5 linked regions of the Macaca fascicularis genome follow. The protein of the gene in region 3 binds, or shares a complex with, the protein of the main gene of each other region. Links are inferred from orthologs where the notes say so. Each region holds a gene or a part of one and is shown on either strand. Other genes may lie near its edges. The genes, in order: PKN1, MAP2K3, MAP3K20, MAPK14 and NOD2.

What was found.
Region 1: MAP3K20 (region 3) and PKN1 share a complex: the UniProt entries of both Homo sapiens proteins name them as parts of the signaling complex. The link is inferred for Macaca fascicularis from reciprocal best matches to the Homo sapiens genes MAP3K20 and PKN1.
Region 2: MAP3K20 (region 3) and MAP2K3 share a complex: the UniProt entries of both Homo sapiens proteins name them as parts of the signaling complex. The link is inferred for Macaca fascicularis from reciprocal best matches to the Homo sapiens genes MAP3K20 and MAP2K3.
Region 4: MAP3K20 (region 3) and MAPK14 share a complex: the UniProt entries of both Homo sapiens proteins name them as parts of the signaling complex. The link is inferred for Macaca fascicularis from reciprocal best matches to the Homo sapiens genes MAP3K20 and MAPK14.
Region 5: MAP3K20 (region 3) and NOD2 share a complex: the UniProt entries of both Homo sapiens proteins name them as parts of the signaling complex. The link is inferred for Macaca fascicularis from reciprocal best matches to the Homo sapiens genes MAP3K20 and NOD2.

Annotation. Positions count from the first base shown.
Region 1 is NC_088393.1:14,864,441-14,868,521, reverse strand, and holds the start of PKN1 (serine/threonine-protein kinase N1), read right to left. Parts: upstream 2,802-4,081; 5' UTR 2,700-2,801; coding exon 2,472-2,699; intron 2,321-2,471; exon of another isoform or gene 2,122-2,320; coding exon of another isoform or gene 2,101-2,121; intron 1,907-2,100; exon of another isoform or gene 77-1,906; intron 1-76. UniProt on the Homo sapiens protein: PKC-related serine/threonine-protein kinase involved in various processes such as regulation of the intermediate filaments of the actin cytoskeleton, cell migration, tumor cell invasion and transcription regulation.
Region 2 is NC_088390.1:20,741,059-20,744,568, forward strand, and holds part of MAP2K3 (dual specificity mitogen-activated protein kinase kinase 3), read left to right. Parts: intron 1-937; coding exon 938-1,077; intron 1,078-2,301; coding exon 2,302-2,347; intron 2,348-2,956; coding exon 2,957-3,040; 3' UTR 3,041-3,510. UniProt on the Homo sapiens protein: Dual specificity kinase. Is activated by cytokines and environmental stress in vivo. Catalyzes the concomitant phosphorylation of a threonine and a tyrosine residue in the MAP kinase p38.
Region 3 is NC_088386.1:68,609,481-68,613,615, forward strand, and holds the start of MAP3K20 (mitogen-activated protein kinase kinase kinase 20), read left to right. Parts: upstream 1-1,328; 5' UTR 1,329-1,464; intron 1,465-1,484; exon of another isoform or gene 1,485-1,651; intron 1,652-2,476; exon of another isoform or gene 2,477-2,563; intron 2,564-2,829; exon of another isoform or gene 2,830-2,890; intron 2,891-4,135. UniProt on the Homo sapiens protein: Stress-activated component of a protein kinase signal transduction cascade that promotes programmed cell death in response to various stress, such as ribosomal stress, osmotic shock and ionizing radiation.
Region 4 is NC_088378.1:135,643,543-135,647,794, reverse strand, and holds the start of MAPK14 (mitogen-activated protein kinase 14), read left to right. Parts: upstream 1-1,443; 5' UTR 1,444-1,840; coding exon 1,841-1,956; intron 1,957-2,072; exon of another isoform or gene 2,073-2,183; intron 2,184-4,252. UniProt on the Homo sapiens protein: Serine/threonine kinase which acts as an essential component of the MAP kinase signal transduction pathway.
Region 5 is NC_088394.1:46,655,266-46,659,348, forward strand, and holds the start of NOD2 (nucleotide-binding oligomerization domain-containing protein 2), read left to right. Parts: upstream 1-1,273; 5' UTR 1,274-1,369; coding exon 1,370-1,454; intron 1,455-3,618; coding exon 3,619-4,083. UniProt on the Homo sapiens protein: Pattern recognition receptor (PRR) that detects bacterial peptidoglycan fragments and other danger signals and plays an important role in gastrointestinal immunity.

The sequences.
Region 1 (4,081 bases), on a different chromosome or scaffold from region 3:
ATAAATAAATATAAACAAGTAAATCAATCAGTAAGGACACAGATTCACACCCTGAGCTGCTGACCAGGACGCTTACCAGTAATGACTTCACAGCAGCCCCGCCTGCCAAGTGCTGGCCAGGTCTCGGTCTCTCTCTCCCATGAACACCCTCTTAGTCCCATTTTTCCTAGGTCAGAACCGAGGCTCAGAGAGGCGAAGGCACTGGGCCCAGGACACACAGCAAGGAAGTGTCAGCGTCGGAATTTAAGCCCAGGCTCACCAAATACCACCCTCACTCAGTCAGGCCCCACCCCATCCCCAGCAGGCAGAGGGAGGACACAGCCAAGAGCGGGGTCAGCTCAACTGGGGAAGTCCAGGCAGAGAGGAAAGGTGGCCTCCCTCGGCCCCACCTCCAGCAGCTGAGGTCTGTAATGCAGAGAGGGAGGGAGGCTGGGCTCCTGGGTTCTCCTCCCCTGAGTGACTCACTTCTTCCCAGGGCATACAGGTCACCTGAGGGCCACCAAGGCAAACCCAGGACTCAGGGGCCTGGCCTGGCCTATGGAGAACCCCTGCTCCTCTGCTGCCCACCATGGAGCGGAGACCTCAGACCCAGAGGACCTGCCTCCCAGAATCCCCATCTTGCCAGAGCAGCCAGGGACCTAGACCCCCACATCCGGAGATTTCAATGCCTTGGGCGTTTCCGGAATCTGGACAGGACATCCGTTTGCAGGACACAGAACAGACAGGCACACGTTGGGACAGATAGAGGGACAGGGCGGCAGGCCCAAGCAACCATGAGAGAGGGATGACCAGGAGGAGGGAAGAGACTAAGGAGGAGATGGGAAGGGGGGACCAGGGCGTGGGTCCAGCCTCACTGCAGGAATCACAGCCTGTCTGGGTCATGTGTGGGACGCGCCAAGCGCATGCATGCGCCCGGGGATTCCTACACAGCCCTCCCTGGGCCGGGGGTGGAGGCAGGGACCCCGGCCCATCCCGGCCCTGAGGTCTGACCTTGTGTGATCGGCAACACCAGATACGCCCAGCTCCTCGGCAAGGCCGGCAGGCCATCAGCAGGACTGGGGAGGTGGGAGGGACCGGGGGTTACGGGGGAGACACAGAGGGGCAGGGGGCAGGTGCAGAAGGAGACGAGAACCCAGTTACACAACAGCCACAGGACGATGAACTGGATGGTGAGGTGCAAATGGGGGCACCGAGGCACAGACATTTCTCAGATTTGGGTCACTTGAACCAAAGAAGGTTGGCAGTCACGCTGGCCCTGCTTGTCACAGACGGGGAAGATGAGTCCAGGTCAGTGATACCAACCAGGTGGCACGGGGGAATCTGGCTGGGCAGAAGGCTGGTGCCAGTCACGTGTGTGTGTTAGGAGGGTGGGGGTGACCCAGCCCTGCCCAGCCACCATGCAAAAAAGTAGGATTCTATATATGGGAGCATCCCTGGCCTGTTGACTGAGGCACTCCCCACCCGGGAGAAGGTTCCACCTGACAGTCCAAGAGTAGGAGCGGGGGTCCCCAGTCCCCCGACCTAATGCAGTGACTCGGGTACTTCCGCCAACAGGTGCCAATCTGGGTGGCGTCTGGAACACTATAAAGCTGTCTAGAGGCGGGGGTGGCTGGAGCTTTGTTATGCGGGGGAAGGGCACGGGCCGGGCCCGGCGGCCTCCTCCCCTCCCACGGCACTGCGCCAGGCACCTGCCCCAGGTGGAGCGGCACCTGCCGGGCACCCAACCCTGGGGAGGGGGATGAGTTTGGGGGCGGACGAGAGGCACCGGGACTCCCAGCCAGCCACAGACACCCGAAGTAGAGCCTCCGCCGCGCCCCTTCTAGTTCTCTGGGAGAGGCCGAGTTTGGGGGTGCAGCGGGGGGTGCCTCCGAGATTGCCCCCAAACCAGCCCCGTCCACATCGCCACCTGCCGAGAAGGGGGCCTCGCTGGCTCCACAGTCCCGGCCCAGGGAGGGGGCGCCGGGCGCTCCGGAGGTCCCCGCCCTAGCCATCGCCACCCGAGTCCCGTTCGGGGGGCTGGGGGGCTCCCCCGGGAGCGCGAGGGCGGGGTCCCCTGGAGCCGTCCGGTCGCCCCGGGACTCCAGACGCAGGTGCGCCTACCTGCAAGGCGTCGCTGGCCATGTCCTCCTGCCGCCCGCCAGGGGTCCCCGCGCGGAGGGAGGGGCGGCCAGAGGAGCGCGCGTGCGCCCCGGGCGTGGCGGGGAGGGGGCGGGCGCGGCGCGACCCTCCCCGGCCCGCGGCCCGCTCCGGCCTGCTAGGCTCCCGCCTCGCCTGCCCAGGCCGCCGCGTCCCCGCGCCGCGCCCTCCAGCCCCAGCGGCCGCCGGGCCCGGTCACGTGACCCCGGAGGTCGGCGCCCGGGGAGGGGGCGGGGCCGAGGGGGAGGGGCTCCCAGAGGCCCCCGGGGCTGCGGGGTCCCGCCCGCCCGCCCCCTCAGTCTCCCGAGCTCGGAGCACCCCGATCGGCTCCCCACCTTTCCTCTTTCCGGGTCCTGCGACGACCGCACGCTGCCGAGAGGTCCCCCATTGGAGCGCGCGGGAACCCGAGGAGAACGGTTCCCCGCGTTCAAGCCGAGAGCGGCGGAGGCCTTTGGGCCTCCCAGAACCCCTGAAAAAAAAAAAATAACCCCCCCACCCCACCCCATCCCTGTGCATTTGCAAGCTCGGGACGCCTGCATCTGTGGTCCCCTATTCAAGGGCATGGAAGTTTCCCCGTTACCTGGAGACAAGCTCTGGGCAGATCTGCATTCAAATGCCAGCGCTTTACGCCTTGGGGAAGCCAAATCCTTCCAGGCACCTCATCTGTGAAATGGGAATGATGCGCTCACCTCCTAGGTGTTGGTAAAATTCAATGAGACAGTGCAGGCCAAGAGCTGAGAACACTCTAGACGCTCCATAAGTGTTAGCTGCTGTCACTTTTAATGTTATCGTAATTGTTTGTTGTTTTGCTGTTTTTGGACGGAGTTTCGCTCTATTGCCCATCCTGGAGTGCAGTGGTGCGATCTCGGCTCACTGCAACCTCTGCCCCCCGGGTTCAAGCGATTCTTCTGCCTCAGCCTCCTGAGTAGCTAGGATTACAGATGCCCGCCATCATGCCCGGCTAATTTTTATATTTTTAGTAGAGATGAGGTTTCATCATGTTGGCCAGGCTGGTCTCAAACTCCTGATCAGGTGATCCGCCCGCCTCGGTCTCCTAAAGTGCTGGGATTACACAGGCTTGAGCCACTGCGCCTGACCTCTATTATCGTTATTGTTATTAAAAGAGGTTTGAATCCCAACTCGCTGTTCATCCTGGGAACCCCTGTGGCCTCTGAGTCTCAGTTTTCCACACAATAAAATGGGCACCGCCTTCTTTTTCGGGGCTGCTGCATGCAGATGGCGCTCCATAAATGCAGACTCGTGCCCATGCGGAGAGTGGAGGCCTCTGAGGAATTTCTAGGGGATCTCCGGGGTCTGCAGAGCGTGCAGCTTTGTTTACGGCTGCCGTCGGACCCTCACTCCTTCGGAAACCAGGCGAGGGAGCCAAACCTTGGTCTCCGGGGCTCCGGCGGGGAGCGCTCCCTGGCGGCGGTGTCTGCACATTGGCGCCCTTTGGGACCCGAGGAAGCGCCGTGGGCTGTGGGTACCTTAGCTACGCGTGGCTCTGCGTGGTTTCAGTCGTCCCGGAAACCAGGGCGCGATGTTTTCTCTCTTATTTTTTCATCTGAGCAACTCTTTGGGGGATATTAACAACAGAAAGAGAGAAGGAGGAGAATATTCTGATCTAGAATCCATCCAGCCAGGCATGGTAGCGCATGCCTGTAGTCCCAGCTACCAGGAGGCTGAGGCAGGAGGATCGCTTGAGCTCAAGAGGCCGAGAATGCATCACTGTGGGGAGCAATCATGATGCCCCTGCACTCCAGCCTGGGTGACAGAGCGAGACCTTGTCTAAAAAAAAGAAAGAAAAAAAAATGTCTGGGTGCAGTGGCTCACCCCTATAATCCCAGCCCTTTAGGAGGCCAAGGTGGTGGTGGGTGGATCACTGGAGGTCAGGAGTTCGAGACCAGCCTGGCCAATATGGTGAAACCCGTCTCTACTAAAAAAT
Region 2 (3,510 bases), on a different chromosome or scaffold from region 3:
CTTCCGTTCATCATGGTGAGGACGGCCATCAGCGAGGGCCCTTGTGCTGGAGCCTCGGAATTCTCTGTCCTTCCAGGCTGGAACCAGGGCTGACATGACTTGTTTTTTCCATCCAGTCGTCATGACTGGAGCCCAGACTAGTCCTAGCTAGTCCGTCCCTTCCATGATGACTTCTTGCCAACCACAGGGAGGACACAGGGCTGGGAGTTTGCAGCGAGTACAGAGACCTACCGGCCCGATGTCACCCACAGGAAATCCGGATCCAGCAGGGCACATGTGGCCACACAGGCCACTTGTCTAGGAGGGAAACTGCCGGGGCCCTGCAGAAGATGAGGCTGCAGGCTCACGGGTGCAGAGGCGAAGCAACCTTATGGTCTCACAGTCTGTCTGTGGCCTTGGGGACAGCTGTGTGTGTGTGTGTGTGTGTGTGTGTGTGTGTGTGTGTGTGTGTGTGTGTAGCATTTCCCGTGTGCCTCCTCTGTGAAAACAGCAGCCCAAATAAATGACAGCAGATGCTGAAGTCTGAGATGGTCAGATGTTAGGGCGGGGAATGGCTGTGACCACCTGGGACCTGCCCACCTGGCTCACGAGGCTGCGGCCCGAGGTTGCCACCTCCTCAGATTTCTCCAGAGCAGCTGGAACCTGCATTGTTTTGTAAAATCTTCAGAATTCAGGTTGTCTGAAAACCCAGTGATGGTCCCACCAGTCCCGGCGTCGGCCTGATCTGCTTCCTGAGCTGGGTCCTGCTGGCTGGGTGGGAGGAGCTAAGAGCTTTCTTGCCTTTGTCCTGCTGGGCTGTGATAGGGAGATGAGCTGTGCAGCTTTGAGGCCTGGCTCCGGGACCAGGATGGGTGGGAGCCCCCAACCCTGGCTCCTGGGTGCAGAGCGTGGGTGTATCTGGGGCCAGGGCCTCTGACCCCCCATGTCACCACTGCAGATTGAGATGGCCATCCTGCGGTTCCCTTACGAGTCCTGGGGGACCCCGTTCCAGCAGCTGAAGCAGGTGGTGGAGGAGCCGTCCCCCCAGCTCCCAGCCGACCGTTTCTCCCCCGAGTTTGTGGACTTCACTGCTCAGTGGTGAGTCTTGGGTGCTGCTGAGCACCTGTCACTGCCCCTCCCTGGCCAGATCCCTGCACCTTCCTGGGCCCTGTTCCTTTTTGTTTTTGCAAATAACCCCCCAGATGACATGGCATCGAAATATGTAAGGCAGAAACAGCTGGAGCATGAGGCGCATTTGACAAAACGATGGTCCTGGTGGGAGATTTTAATATAGTTCTTCCAGAAGTGGACAAATCAGACAGACTGAAAAGAGAACAAAGTGTATGGAAGATTTGAACACAAAAAACAAGTTTGCTTTTACTGATATCTAGAACTTTGTACCAAATTAAAGAATGCCCCACAGGAGCCTTATAAAAATCATGTTTGAGAGGCTGGGTGCGGTGGCTCATGCCTGTAATCCCAGCACTTTGAGAGGCTGAGGCGGGCGGATTACAAGGTCAGGAGTTGGAGACCAGCCTGATCAACATGGGGAAACGCTGTCTCTACTAAAAATAGAAAAATTAGCCAGGCATGGTGGTGTACGCCTGTAATCCCAGCTACTCAGGAGGCTGAAGCACGAGAATCGCTTGAACCCAGGAGCCAGAGGTTGCAGTGAGCCTGAGCCGAGATCATGCGACTGCACTCCAGCATGGGCGACAGAGCGAGATTCTCTCTTAAAAAAAAAAATCATGTTTGAGGTTACAGAGGGACTAAGGAAGAAGGCAAAGTCATACAGACCAACTTCTCTGACCATAATTAAACAGAGCAAGAAATGGGTAAGGAAGAAGCGGCCGGGTGCGGTGGCTCACACCCATGGTCCCAGCACTTTTGTTGTTGACCATAATCAGCAACAGAGGAGCCCAGCAGTGTCCCTGGGCAGTCTGACCCCTTTAACTGGGGACTAACCTCTCCCAGAACCCATGATAAGGAGTTTTCTCTCCTGACTGAGGATACCGAGTATATGCTTGTTAGGCAGAACATTGCAGTCCCATTTTGGTGTTGATATGGAAATTCCTAGGTCACTATGGAGACAAGAAAACCAGGACCCCAAGAGCCAGAAACTTGCTGCGAGTCTCTAGTTTGCCCCTATGAATGCCCCTCCACCCTGGGAGAAGCCCTGGACACTCCTGTCCCTTCTTCCCTGGGTGCACGTGTCCCCTGCTGCCAGGCCTGGGGCAATCCCAGAGTGGCTTGGCTGGCCCTCGGGGGCTGGGCTTCCTTCCTACCTGCCCGCCTGGCCACAGCTGCACTCTTCTCTCCTAGCCTGAGGAAGAACCCCGCAGAGCGTATGAGCTACCTGGAGCTGATGGTGAGTACGGGCGGGAGGTGCCTGCCTTGCTCTTCGGGGCTGGCTGGGGCTGAGTGGGGCTCTGGGCAGAGGGCTACGTCCTGCACACAGATGGGTAGCTCCTCCGGCTGGCCCTGTGTTCACTCCTTTAGGTGCTCGGTCATTTGTTTGCTCCTGCATGCCTGGCTCCCTCCTCCCTCCTTCCTGCATGCCAGGCCCTGGGAAGGATACACAGGCAGTGTGTGACAGAATGGGGCAGAGGGGCCAAGGGTGGCATCAGGGAAGGCTTCATGGAGGAGGGACCATTTGAACTGAGCCTGGAAGGATGAATAAGGGTTATCTGCTGACGGAGAGGCGTCCCAAGCAGAAGGTCCAGCATGGGCAGAGGCCTGACGTGTCGGGGAAAAGGGAGGTCAGTGTGGCTGGAGAGTGACCACAAGAGAGCTGAGGAGGAGCCACAAATGCCATCGTGACTGTCATGGAGGGCCTCCTGGGGGTGGAGGTCCTAGAAGGATGAGTAGGATTTTGCCAGTCAGGAGGAACACTTGGGCTGGAGCTGGTTGGGGAGGAGTGGCCACCTCCCCCTCCCGCTACCCCCTCCATGGTGACTGTGCCTTCTGTCACCCCCAGGAGCACCCCTTCTTCACCTTGCACAAAACCAAGAAGACAGACATCGCTGCCTTCGTGAAGGAGATCCTGGGCGAAGACTCATAGGGGCTGGGCCTCGGACCCCACTCCGGCCCTCCAGAGCCCCACAGCCCCATCTGCGGGGGCAGTGCTCACCCACACCATAAGCTACTGCCATCCTGGCCCAGGGCACCTGGGAGGAACCAAGGGGCCTGTTCCCACCTGACTCTGCAGCGAGCCATTTGTCCCAAGTGCCAAAGAAGCAGACCATCAGGGCTGCCAGCCAGGCCCTTGTCGGCCCCACCAGTGCCTCTCCCTGCTGCTCCAAGGACCCGTCTCCAGCTGCTGAGATCCTGGACTGAGGGGGCCTGGATGCCCCCTGTGGATGCTGCTGCCCCTTGCACAGCAGGCCGCTGGTGCCTGGGTGAATGGGCCACTGCCTTGCCCAGCCTGGATGCCAGCCAAGTTGTATATTTTTTTAATCTCTTGACTGAATGGACTTTGCACACTTTGGCCCAGGGTGGCCACACCTCTATCCCGGCTTTGGTGCGGGGTAC
Region 3 (4,135 bases):
CTCTCCGCTTTCGTATCTTTAACCTATCGAATGACTTACAAATTTTCTATTTCACTCTTGACCTCTTTTCTGAATTTCAGTTTCATATTTCAGTTGCTGCATCTCTACCTGTTTTTACTTCTATGACCTCAAACTCAACATGAAGCCAGCTTCCCTTTCACGTATTCCTATTCCTGTCAATGACACCATCATTCTTCCAGTCATCCAGGTCTGAAATCTTGGCATCACCTCTCCTCTTCTTCTCTTCTAAATCTTGCCGCTTCTCTTCTAAATCTTGTGGGTTACCAATTTCTGTGCCCTCTTGCTGAAATATTTAATATTTCTCTCAATTCCATTTCTTCTTGTTTTTTTTTTTTTTTTTTTTTTTTTTAAAGACAGAGTCTCACTCTCATCCAGGCTGGAGTGCAGTGATGCGATTGTGTTTCACTTCAGACTCGACTTCCCCAGCTCAAGCGATTCTCCCACCTCAGCCTCCCAAGTAGCTGGGACTATAGATGCGTGGCACCACACCGGGCTAAGTTTTTGATTTTTTTAGAGATGAGGTCTCACTATGTTACCCAGTCAGTTCTCAAGTGATCCCCTCAGCTTGATCTCCCAAAGTGCTGGGATTACAAGCACCACACCCAGCCCATTTCTTTTTTTTAATTCCATTTCCTACACCCTAACTCAGGTCCTCATGATCCCACAACCGGGTGGTGACAATATCTACCACTCATCCTGGTCCCATCCTAGCAACCCAAGCTACAACTACTGTGGACTACTCTCTCAAAATTACAGTTTAAACAAAAACACAAACACCCATTTCACCCCTTTGATTCTAATTTTTCACTGCTCCCCGGTGTCCATGGATAATAAAATTCAAATCCAAACTCCTGGATAATGTTGCCTATGCCTTGCCACCTCCTCGCACTTTTCCTTCACAAAACCATCCTCCCCAATCAGAAATTTCTTTTCTTCCCAACGCCCACCTCTACCTTTGGCTTAGGCCTGTAATGGACTCTGGTTCCTCATCTGAACTCTGCTCTGTTAAAGTTACCAACTACAGCAGCGGACCACGGCCCCTCCTCAAAATTCCAGAGGTACCTACTGATCTTTCTAGGGAGGCAGCCTTCAGACCTGTGTTCCCAGAAATCTCTACGTTTGTCCCTTTCCCAACTAGAGAATTAACTCTTGCAGGGCACAAAACAGCCTCTATTTCTTTGCGTCCCCCGCGCCTGTTTGTTGAAGACTGAGTTGAAGGAGTAGCAGGTGGTGTTAACTCGTCAAAAAGATGGTGGCCAGGGGGAACACCCCCACAGCTCTCCCCCGACAGCAGGGCAGGTGTGCCTGGGGGCCTCGGCGGGTGCCGGGGCGCGGGGCGGATGGTGCCCCCGGGCGCAGGCCAGGGAGGCCCAAGCGCCTTCCCCACGCCCCGCTCGCCCGCGCGTGTGAGGGGAGGGCTGCCCGGCCGTTCCGCGCCGGGAGGTAGGTGGTGCTGTTGCCGTGACTGTCTTCCTCATTGGCGCCGGGCAGAGAGGCGGAATGTTCAACTCCTGACTCCGGCGGAAGCGTGGGAGCCGCGCGGGCCGCTGTCGTTCCAACCCCCGCCGCCCTCGTCGCGCGCGGGGCCTCCGCGCCCCCGGCTGCTGCTCGCGCCCGGCCTGGGAGCCAGGTAGGGTCCAGGCTGGAGCCCGCGGAGGGCGGGGAGGGAGGGGGCGAGGCCCGCCGCGCTCGCGAGTCGTCCTCGCGTCTTGGGGCCGAGGTTCCGCCGGGGCCCGGGAGTCCAGGCGGCCTCTGGATGCTACTTGGGGCTCCTCTCCCTGACCCAGGACCCGCGCGGCGGCGGCGGCGGCCGGAGCGAGCATTCGCCGCGCCGGAGGAGTCCTCGCGGGACCTCGGCCGCGGCGCCGCCAAGTGCGGTTCGGGAAAGTTCGGGCCAGTCCCACGGAGAAGTTGGTGCCTGGAGGCGCGGGGCGCAGGCCGGAGCGGCTCGGGATTCCGCGGCCCTGGGCGTGCGGCACGGGCAGGGGCTCTGCAAACAGGAGAGCCGGCCAAGCAGCGGGTGGTTGGGGCACTGTCGGGAGGGGAACCGCGAGGCCCCCAAATCAGGGCAGGATGCAGGCCACTTCCCAGCACTCGCTGTGCGTGCGAGGAGGGACGACGAACTTCTGCTTTTCTAAGAACTCGGCCGCTAGCGGTGTTGCTTTCCATCCATTTTCTTTCATTCTGTTTTCCTCACGTAATTAGGCCATGCGAATAACCAGCAGGAACAATGAACACTAAAGATTAGTTTTACAAACATGCGTAAATGTATCCAGAGCCACCCAGAGCCGCCGCTCCCCGCCCTTCCTTCGCCGGGCTTGGGCAGCGTGGCGCGCCCGCCCTCTCGGGCTTCCCCCTTTCCTCCCACCGGAGCCCGGGTTGTCCCCTTTGGCGACCCTCAGGCAGCCGTCTTTTTGTGGGCTCCCAGACCTGCACCAGGCCGAGAAGTACTTACCCAGGCCGCCGCCTCGCCTGGCCTCGCTTGCCCATGACAGCTTTCAGAAAACTTTAATTCAGGACTGGCTAGATAACATCCGATTGCCTAAAAAAAATTTTTAAAAAGATTATCTCTGTTAGATCGCCGAAAATGTTAATGTTTCTGATGCGCTTTGAGATCGCGCATAAGCACTGTTTATGGGGAACTTAATTACTATTTTTGTTAGTTTCTGTAATAATGAAAGCAACACAATTTAGGGGCCCATTCCAAGTATAGTACAGTAAGCAGCTCATTAATAATGGTGTGTGAGAATCGTCTTACAGAGTGAATTTGAGGATATTTGAATTAAGATTGTTGAAAACAGTACCTACTTTAACCCCAAAGCTGTTTTAGGAGAGACTTCTTGTTTCCCTGACCTTCCTTGAAATTAACAGCTAGGATTTAGTGGATCCAAACCTCCAAACACGTTTAAAGACAAAAATAAACAAGTGATTCAAGGCTAATGTCCTCCTTGTAGTAGGCCTCTCTCCACAGTGAAATTTCACTTGTTTTTCAATTTTCAAAAAAAAAAAAAAAAAAAGTGATGGCTGCATTTTAATTATGTTTATGGTCATTTGCAGAGTCTTTGTTTTAAATTCCTGCTACTATAGTGAGAGATTTAGGAGACTGTAAATGAATACGAATTTAGTTTGGGAATAGAGAATTAAGATAAAAATAGTCTTTTGGACCCCTGCAATGTTTATTTTAATCTTTCACAATTTAATTCCTATAACTTTTTGAGATTATTTGGGGGAGTTTTTTAACTGCAAAATATTGTTGTTTAAATAAAAAAATTTAGTGATAATAATTCCAGAGTAAATGACCATGATGCAATTGCAAGGACTTTCTTGTCTAAAAAAGCAAATAAATGATTGATCTGTTTTTCTTATTCTTTTAGGGAATATATAAGGACACAGTAAAGAGAGGGAAAGAGAGAAAAATATCCAAATATTAAACATGCGGACTTGGATCTAAAAATGGATGGTCAAAGATCTTGGGAACTAAGGGGCCTTCTTGCCAAATAAGGAAACTTGGCAAGTTGCACTGTGTATTTTAACTTAGCACAAGAGTGAGTGTTATTGGCAATATATTGGCTCAGAGCCTATCAGGAATGAGCAGTGAAACTGACTTCGACAGGGCTACAAAATTATAAATAGGAGGTATGAGGGGTGTGGAGTGAATAATCCAGTCATCAGAGAAAACACTGAAGAAATTATAATGATGTTTCATGAAAAGAAGTCAGATGTAAGGTGAAGCTATTGGTGTGGAGTGAAAGCAAAATGGACAGTTTATTTTAGAAATTGGTAGATTCAGAAGAGATGAATCAATGTTTTTTGTTTGTTTGTTTGTTTGTTTTTCTTAAACTGGAAAAAGGTGTTGTAGGGATATAGTGCTTCTTGGAATAAGATAGCTCTATGTCTGTATCCTGAGACGTTGAAAATAAAAATGAATTTAGATCACTTGTTTTCCATTTTATTCTACCCAGGACAGATTGACAGGGTGAGTGTCTTGTCTATCTAAATGTAATATGAACAGTTAAGGCCCCTTTTGGTCTTACTGCAAGGAAGATTTAGGCTAGTCTTTTGGCAGCTATTAACTTTGCCTCAGTAGACACAAATAAGCAGAGTTCCAGCTGTG
Region 4 (4,252 bases), on a different chromosome or scaffold from region 3:
CTTAAAATCCTCTTCACTGATGGCTCTTCAGGGTAGGAGTCAGTTTCAAATCTTCAGTGTAATGGTTTTTTAAATGCTTCTCAAAGGGAGATATCAGACTTTCCTGAATCAGAATTACCTAAGATGTATTATAAAAATACATGCTCTTGATGCCTTCCTCTGACCTACCCAATTAGACTCCCTGTGAGTCCTGGGAACTTGCATCTTAAACTCCCAGGGTGATTTTTCTGCATGTAAGTTTAAGAACTATTAGGAGAGTTTGAATGGAAAGCCTCAGCTTTTTTTTTTTTTTTTTTTTTTTTTTTTGAGACGGAGTCTCCTTCTGACGCCAGGCTGGAGTGCAGTGGCGCGATTTTAGCTCACTGCAACCTCCGCCTCCCGGATTCAAGCAATTCTCCTGCCTCAGTCTCCCGAGAAGCTGGAACTACAGGCTCAAGCCACCATGCCCAGCTAATTTTTGTATTTTTCAGTAGAGACGGGGTTTCACCATGTTGGCCAGGATGGTCTCTATCTCTTGACCTCGTGATCCGACCGCCTCGGCCTCCCAAAGTGCTGGGATAACAGGCGTGAGCCACCGCGCCCAGCCCCTGGAAAGCCTCAGCTTTGATGCAGGGTTAACATTTGCCTTTGGGACATATTTCGTCAGCATCTCGAAGAGTAACCCACATGTAGAGTAACCCATATGTCCTTGAGCAGATGGGAATGCAACAGCCTTCTGGCCAGAACCTGTCTCTCACTTTTTTTTTTTTTTTTTTTTAATTTGAGACGGAGTTTCGCTTCTGTTTCCCAGGCTGGAGTGCAATGGCGCGATCTCGGCTCACCACAACCTCCACCTCCCGGGTTCAAGCGATTCTCCTGCCTCTGCCTCCCGAGTAGCTGGGACTCCAGGTGCGCGCCACCACGCCCGGCTAATTTTGCATTTTTAGTAGAGACGGGGGTTTCGCCATTTTGGTCAGGCTGGTCTCGAACTCCCGACCTCAGGTGATCCGCCCGCTTCGGCCTCCCAAAATGCTGGGATTACAGGCGTGAGCCACCGCGCCCTGCCACCTGTCTCTTTTTCATGCAAGTGTTTTTTGGAATTTGGGGGTTCAGCTGAGCAGGTGCTCCGCTGCTAGTAACTACTCGCAGTTAAAGATCTTTTGACTCTTTCCCCGACACGCTATTTGTCACTGTCGTTTTCCACCACAGAGCCAGGTATTTGCCCTGCCGGCCACGGTGGGGCGCGCGCGGCGTGTGCTGCCCGCTTATCTCTTCCTTCCCTGGTCCGCCTTCGCGCCCTTAAGGAGACAGTTCCTGGGAGTTTCTGCCTTTGGGCTCCAGTTGTTGCTCTCTTCTCGCGAGAACTGCCCCTCTCATCCTCTCCTCTCACGAAGCCCCGCCCGCGAAGAGGTTCCATATTGGGTAAAATCTCGGCTCTCGGAGAGTCCCGGGAGCAGTTCTCGCGAGAGTACTGCGGGAGGCTCCTGTTTGCTGGCTGTGGAACCGCGACCACTGGAGCCTCAGCGGGCGCAGCAGCTGGATCCGGAGTACTGCGACGCAGCTCGGAGTCGGCCTTGTAGGGACGAAGGTGCAGGGAGATCGCGGCAGGCGCAGCCTTGAGCGCCGGAGCGCGTCCCTGCCCTTAGCGGGGCTTGCCCCAGTCGCAGGGGCGCATCCAGCCGCGGCGGCTGACAGCAGCCGCGCGCGCGGGAGTCTGCGGGGTCGCGGCAGCCGCACCTGCGCGGGCGACCAGCGCAAGGTCCCCGCCCGGCTGGGCGGGCAGCAAGGGCCGGGGAGAGGGTGCGGGTGCAGGCGGGGGCCCCATAGGGCCACCTTCTTACCCGGCGACTGCCGCTGGAAAATGTCTCAGGAGAGGCCCACGTTCTACCGGCAGGAGCTGAACAAGACAATCTGGGAGGTGCCCGAGCGTTACCAGAACCTGTCTCCAGTGGGCTCCGGCGCCTATGGCTCTGTGTGGTGAGTGTCGCCGGGCCTGGGGCCGCTGTGGGCAGGGTGGCCCCTCGCGCCCGAGAGCCAGGCCTGCACGACTGCTCTGCGTTGCGTCAAGTGGCAGGAATTTTCCTCGGGGGAGGGCCTTGCTGCCCCTTCGAGCTCTGCCTGTTCTGCACCTCCTGCACCCCTCGCCCTGCACTCACGCGGGTATTGCGGTCCACCGTGTGCAGCGCTCAAGTCCGCTGCGAGAGGTAGGTGGTGGTGCTGGAGCTCGGTTCTGGCTAGCACCCTGCGCCTTCGCCTCTCGGAAGGTTGCTGCTCGGCGGCAGGCACCGGGGGAAGGGCTGCTTCCTTGGGGGTCTCCCTCCGGACCTGGAGCAGAAGGACCCTCTCCCGCGATGCGCCCACGCTGTGGCGCCGGACCCTGTCCTCTGAGCAGACAAGCTTGGGGAGCTGCCGGGAGAAGCAGAAGGGCAGAGCGCAACCCGAAGACTGCGGTCATCTAAACAAAACTGACCAGGAAGGGAGCTCTCTCCGGGCCTTTTTTTTTTTTTTTTTCCCCAAACCTCTGTCGAAATCCCATCTCGAGAAGTGTTCTTTTTGAATTCGCACTTGAATTAGCAGCGATCCATAGAGCTTAAAATACCGACTTTATCTCGGTGAACACTGTGCCAGCTTGAGTGGTGTGTTTCCGATTCGGTTGAAAGCGTATTTCCTTTCTGTGGAGGGGCGGCGGTGGTAGTGCCTGCAAGAACGCTGCAGCTTGAGAAACTGGCAGTCTCACTGATTAGTCACATACCACTGCTCATTTAAGTATTGTTCGACAAAACAGTTTTTTCATTTGGAGCAAGAAAGATTCAGATCTGTAAGGCGCCCTCAAGATCAAAAAATTATTAACAGTGCTAGGAGGTATTGTAAGTATTTTTTGAGATAATTCCTGCGAATACTGTGTTTTAAAAGTCCCTTTCAGAGTTTGCAGGGATTTATCTAGTTATCTGCATTTATGGCCTGAGGTACACGATGGTTTTCGTAAGGATATGGAACCACATAGAAAAGGAAGGGAAGAGATACTTTTTAGCTTTAATTTACACCGTGAGTGTGTTTTAAATTAAGTCGATACCATGTAATTTCCAGACCTGAAATATTTCACTAACTGCTCTCTAATTTTCAAGGTTTTATACCCTGTATTTTAGATTTTCTATAATTTAAAAGCTACGGATCTGAAACTAAATATCAGATTTAACTGTTAGCTTTTTCTGTGTTTTAGTAATTCGTATTGTATGCGTCATTTGAAAAGGGGCCTGTAAAATAGTTTTTTGTTTTGGAACAAATTCCAGGCTTTTGGATGTGTTAATCTTTAAATATGATTTCTGTGTTTCCCAAAGTCACATCATGAATTTCCTGTTTGGTAGAATCTTCTGGGTAATTGAGATTGTGCAATTGTGTCCAGTAACAGATCATATTGCATTTTCTAGTTCAAGCTGCTTAAGTTATGTTGCAGATGGCACCGTGCGTGACATCTTTCTCCCATTTTTACAGCATGGCAGTTTACATTTTAAAGGAATTTGCAGGATTTTACATTCAGAGTGTGTGTGTGTATAGTTGATTTGCAGCATTTTACATTCGATATATACATGTTAATATATGTATATCCATTCAGTATATACATATTATGTATATCTAGTTGATTTGCTAATTTTCAAAGATGTATTTGGATCATTGTTCTTTTAATATTTTATAGCTCATTAATATACTTCCATTTTTTCATTCTTGAATTGACACATTCATTTCTGTAGTATCACGTTTTTGTTTTCAATGCTATTTAAATTTTAATGGAGTGATAACAGCAGAATAACTCATCTATAGAGGGTTTGGGTGAACTCCAGTTGAATTCCTCGCAAAGGTTCAGTACTGTTGGTGACTAGCTCTGCACTGGAACAGGAGATCCAGATTTACAGTGAAGTACCATTAAAATTAACTCCACATTTCTTTAGTGGTATATTTTTCTGTGGTATAAAAGCCAGCAGAGGCCGGGCGCGGTGGCTCAAGCCTGTAATCCCAGCACTTTGGGAGGCTGAGACGGGCGGATCACGAGGTCAGGAGATCGAGAAAGTCCTGGTTAACACGGTGAAACCCCGTCTCTACTAAAAAATACGAAAAAGTAGCCGGGCGAGGTGGCGGGCGCCTGTAGTCCCAGCTAACCGGGAGGCTGAGGCAGGAGAATGGCGTAAACCCGGGAGGCGGAGCTTGCAGCGAGCCAAGATGGCGCCACTGCACTCCAGCCTTGGCGACAGAGCGAGACTCCGTCTCAAAATAAAAA
Region 5 (4,083 bases), on a different chromosome or scaffold from region 3:
ATGGGAGGACTTGGGGACAGCAGTACAGGCAATAGACAAGGGGGTCTGCTATAAAGGGGAGCAGATAAATGGGATTGGAGCCAAATGAAGAAAGTGGGTGTCAAGAGAGGGCTTTACTTTTACAATGGAGAATATAGTGCATTGTGCACTGGTGGGGGGAATTGGTCTCTTAGGAAGAGAAGTTCAGTGCCGGGGAGGGAGAATGCAGGATGGCTGGGGGAGGGTGGGGGCGCTTGGCCCCAGCAGAGACCCGGGATACTTGGGAAGTTGCGCTTCCCTGGGCTTCCCTTCCTCTCCTGTCTGCAAGGGGTCAGTGGACTGAGATTTCAGCACTTAAGCAAAGCATTTGCTCTTGGCCCCAGAGAAACCAGGTTGGCTGTGGTCTCAGGAAGGAAGGAGCTGTCCAAGGCTCAGGCCTGGGCCTGGGTTTCAGGGAGGGCCCTTGTGGGTCGCTCCTTGACCCTCTCTTTCAGCAAGGAAGTGCTCCTTTCTCTACATGGGCCTCACCTTGGGGAGGACAATGGTGTCTTTGAAGTTGTAGTAACTGAAGTAGAGATCAAAAGGCAATGCAGATAGACTAATAGATTTTGCCTGAAGAGGGGAAGCCCGATCAGGTAATAAAGGGGTAAGAGGAAGGATGTGAAGGACAATTTTTAGGAAACAGATAATGAGTGAATATTTTTTCTGTCTCTTTCCCAAGTTAAACTGAAGCAGGAGAAACTGAAGCTAGACATAATGAATAAATTCCCAAGCTGGTGAGCTTCCTGAGCTGGTTAGTGAGGACAGCACTAAGGCCAGGCCCTCCTCTCCGGATGTTTAATATGAGACAGGACAATGCCTGCTCAGAGACAGGGGACTGGCTGAATTGGCCCTCAGGATTCTTTTTGCTCTGAGGTTTCTGGAAGAAGGCCAGGGCAGAGGTGCGGTGATGCAGCTGCTGGGAGGACAGAGCTCCGAGTCACGTGACTTGGGCGGCCCTCCCCTTCCTGGTGCCCACAGAAGCCCGACGTCACTAGCCGGGGTGTGTATGGCTCACACGTAGGCCAGGCTGCCCTAGGCTTGGTGTGCTAGGGAGGGGCCCCTACTTACTTGTGGCCTGTCCCCTCGTGAATGTGTCTCATGTCCCCAGTGGGGTTTTTCAGGGAGGGTCATGGTCTCCAGGATGCACAAGGCTTTGTGCCAGAATTGCCTGGAATTACCTAGTTCTGGAAGGCTGGTTGGCCAACTCTGGCCTCTGGCTTTTCCTTTGGGAATTTCCCTTGAAGGTGGGGTTGGTAGACAGATCCAGGCTCACCAGTCCTGTGCCGCTGGGCTTTTGGTGTTCTGCACAAGGCCCACCCACAGATGCCATGCCTGCTCCCCAAGCCTAATGGGCTTTGATGGGGGAAGAGGGGGTGGTCCAGTCTCTCCCGATGAGGAGGAAAGAGCAAGTGTCCTCCTCGGACATTTTCTGGGTAAGAGGAGCAGGCATTGTCCTGTCTCAGCTTGACTCTCAGCCTTCTTTCATCCCTGGCTGCGCGCATGCTCCCAGGCCTGGGGTGAGATGGGGAGTGCTGACTGTGTCTCTGGGCTGTTTTCTGGGGAGAGTGGGTGGGTGGTTATTTTCCCCAGGACCCTGGCAGGGGTGATGGTGGGGGCTGCTGTCGCGTCCTTGGCTGATGTTTCCACAGCTGAGAACCACTCCAGGGCCAAGCCCAGAGCTTATTCTACCCCCTTTTGGTCCTCTCTTCCCCCGTCCCCCGCCACCCCACCCTCTTGGCTCCTCTGCTTAGAGGTGAGCACGGGGAGGAGACCTCCTTGGCCTGAGAGAACTACCTTAGTTCCTGGATTCCAGTGGCCTGTGCAGGGGGGGGACACTCTCTCTCCCAAGCAGCCAGACACACACATAACCTCATTGCCTCCGTTTCCCCATCTGACCAGCACAGGGCCTCCTGTGCCCCAGCAGCGTTCTGAGAGATTGGAGGTTTTTCCTTTTGCTTACCTTGGCTGCCGTATGAGGATGGTTACAGTGTTCCTCCCACCCCCAGCCCAGGGGATATTTGATTCATGAACATTTCCACGGTGTCTCTGCGGGGGACAGTGCCGTGCCAGGCTCAGGGATGCTAGGACGAGTAAGACCCAGGCTTCCACGTGACCCAGGCAGGGAGAGAGACACATAAACAACCATCAGCAAAGAGGCAAAATCCCCAGGCCGCTTGGCGTCTACTCCCTCGAGTGGCTGGGAATGTCCCTGATTTATAAAAAGAAGCCGACGGCTCTCTTTGTTGTCCATGCCTACACCCTTTCACTTTCGTTTCTTCGAGGCACTGCACCAGCCCTTGTCCACAGACCCCACGACAATCGCAGAACTAACCATGCTGAGAGATTTTCTCAGCTGCTCAGAGATCCTCCCAGGGCTTGAAGCTCCTGGAGGGTTACTTGCCCTCAAATTCCCAGAACCCACAGCAGGTGGCTAACGGTAGCAGCAGCAGCAGTCTGTGCACGGTGGTTTCGAGGGCGTGGGAGGGAGGTGAGGGCCCTAGGGCAAGTGTGTGGGGGAAGTGTTGATGGGGGACAAGGCACGAGAACGCTTGGAAACAACTTAGTTTGCACCGTAATTTTTCACTTAGCCTAGGATAGGACCTTTAGAACAATATTCTGAGTGTACCCCTTGGAGTAGCAGTGTGCAAAACACACAGCAAGGGCTTGGGGCCCCCGTGGGGAACCCAAATGTAAGAGTTAGAGACATGCATTCTGGAGTTGCACACAGCTTGTGTTGAAATCCTGACTCTGCCTGTCTAGCTGTGACATGTCGTACAAATCGCTGAGCCTCTCGGTGCCTCAGTGTCTTCCTCTGTAAAATGGGCAGATCATAGGCACTACTTCAGAGTGGCTGGGAGGGTTCAGTGAATTCACGCAGGAGAGCACTTAGAATGGCGCCTGGTGTGTTGTTTATGCTTAATTAATATTAGCCATTACTGAAACTGCTGTAGCGTGAATCCGGCCAGTGTGGAGTCCCTCTCACCCTGCTTTGAAGAGAATGAATTCCCTGACTGCTCGGAAGATCTCTCTTTCTCTCTCTCTACTTTTTACATTTTTATTATTATTTTTTTGAGACAGGGTCTTGCTCTGTTGCCCAGGCTGGAGTGCAGCCTGCAACCTCTGCCTCCCGGGTTCAAGTGATTCTCCTACCTCAGCCTCCTGAGTAGCTGGGATTACAGGTGCCCACACCACGCCTGGCTAATTTTTGTATTTTTAGTAGAGAAAGGGTTTTACCGTGTTGGCCAGGCTGGTCTGGAACTCCTGATCTCAAGTGACCTTGGGAGATCTCTTGCTCCTCATATTACCTCAAGCCTTTTTAAATGTTTTAAGCCGGAGACCAAGCATGGATGTGGGAGTTAGGGGTCTTGATTTAATTCTTGGTTGCTTCAAACTCTCTGTGGGACCTTGAGGTGTTTCTTGCCTTCTCTGGGTCTCAATTTTCACATCTGTATGGTGGGGAGCTTGGATTGGGTAATGTCTGAGGCTAGAACCATGGCCAACTCGGGTTCTGCTGGGGCTGACTTGCCCTGGCCTTCCCCAGCCACCCCGCGTCTGGCTTCTGGAGAAGTCCTGCACTGACCTTGTTCTCCTCCCCAGGTTGTGAAATGTGCTCGCAGGAGGCTTTTCAGGCACAGAGGAGTCAGCTGGTGGAGCTGCTGGTCTCAGGGTCCCTGGAGGGCTTCGAGAGTGTCCTGGACTGGCTGCTGTCCTGGGAGGTCCTCTCCTGGGAAGACTACGAGGGCATCCACCTCCTGGGCCAGCCTCTCTCCCACTTGGCCAGGCGCCTCCTGGACACCGTCTGGAATAAGGGTACTTGGGCCTGTCAGAAACTTGTCGCTGCTGCCCAGGAAGCCCAGGCCGACAGCCAATCCCCCAAGCTGCATGGCTGCTGGGACCCCCACTCGCTCCACCCAGCCCAAGACCTGCAGAGTCACCGGCCAGCCATTGTCAGGAGGCTCCACAGCCATGTGGAGGGCGTGCTGGACCTGGCACGAGAGCGGGGTTTCGTCAGCCAGTACGAATGTGACGAAATCAGGCTGCCAATCTTCACACCGTCCCAGA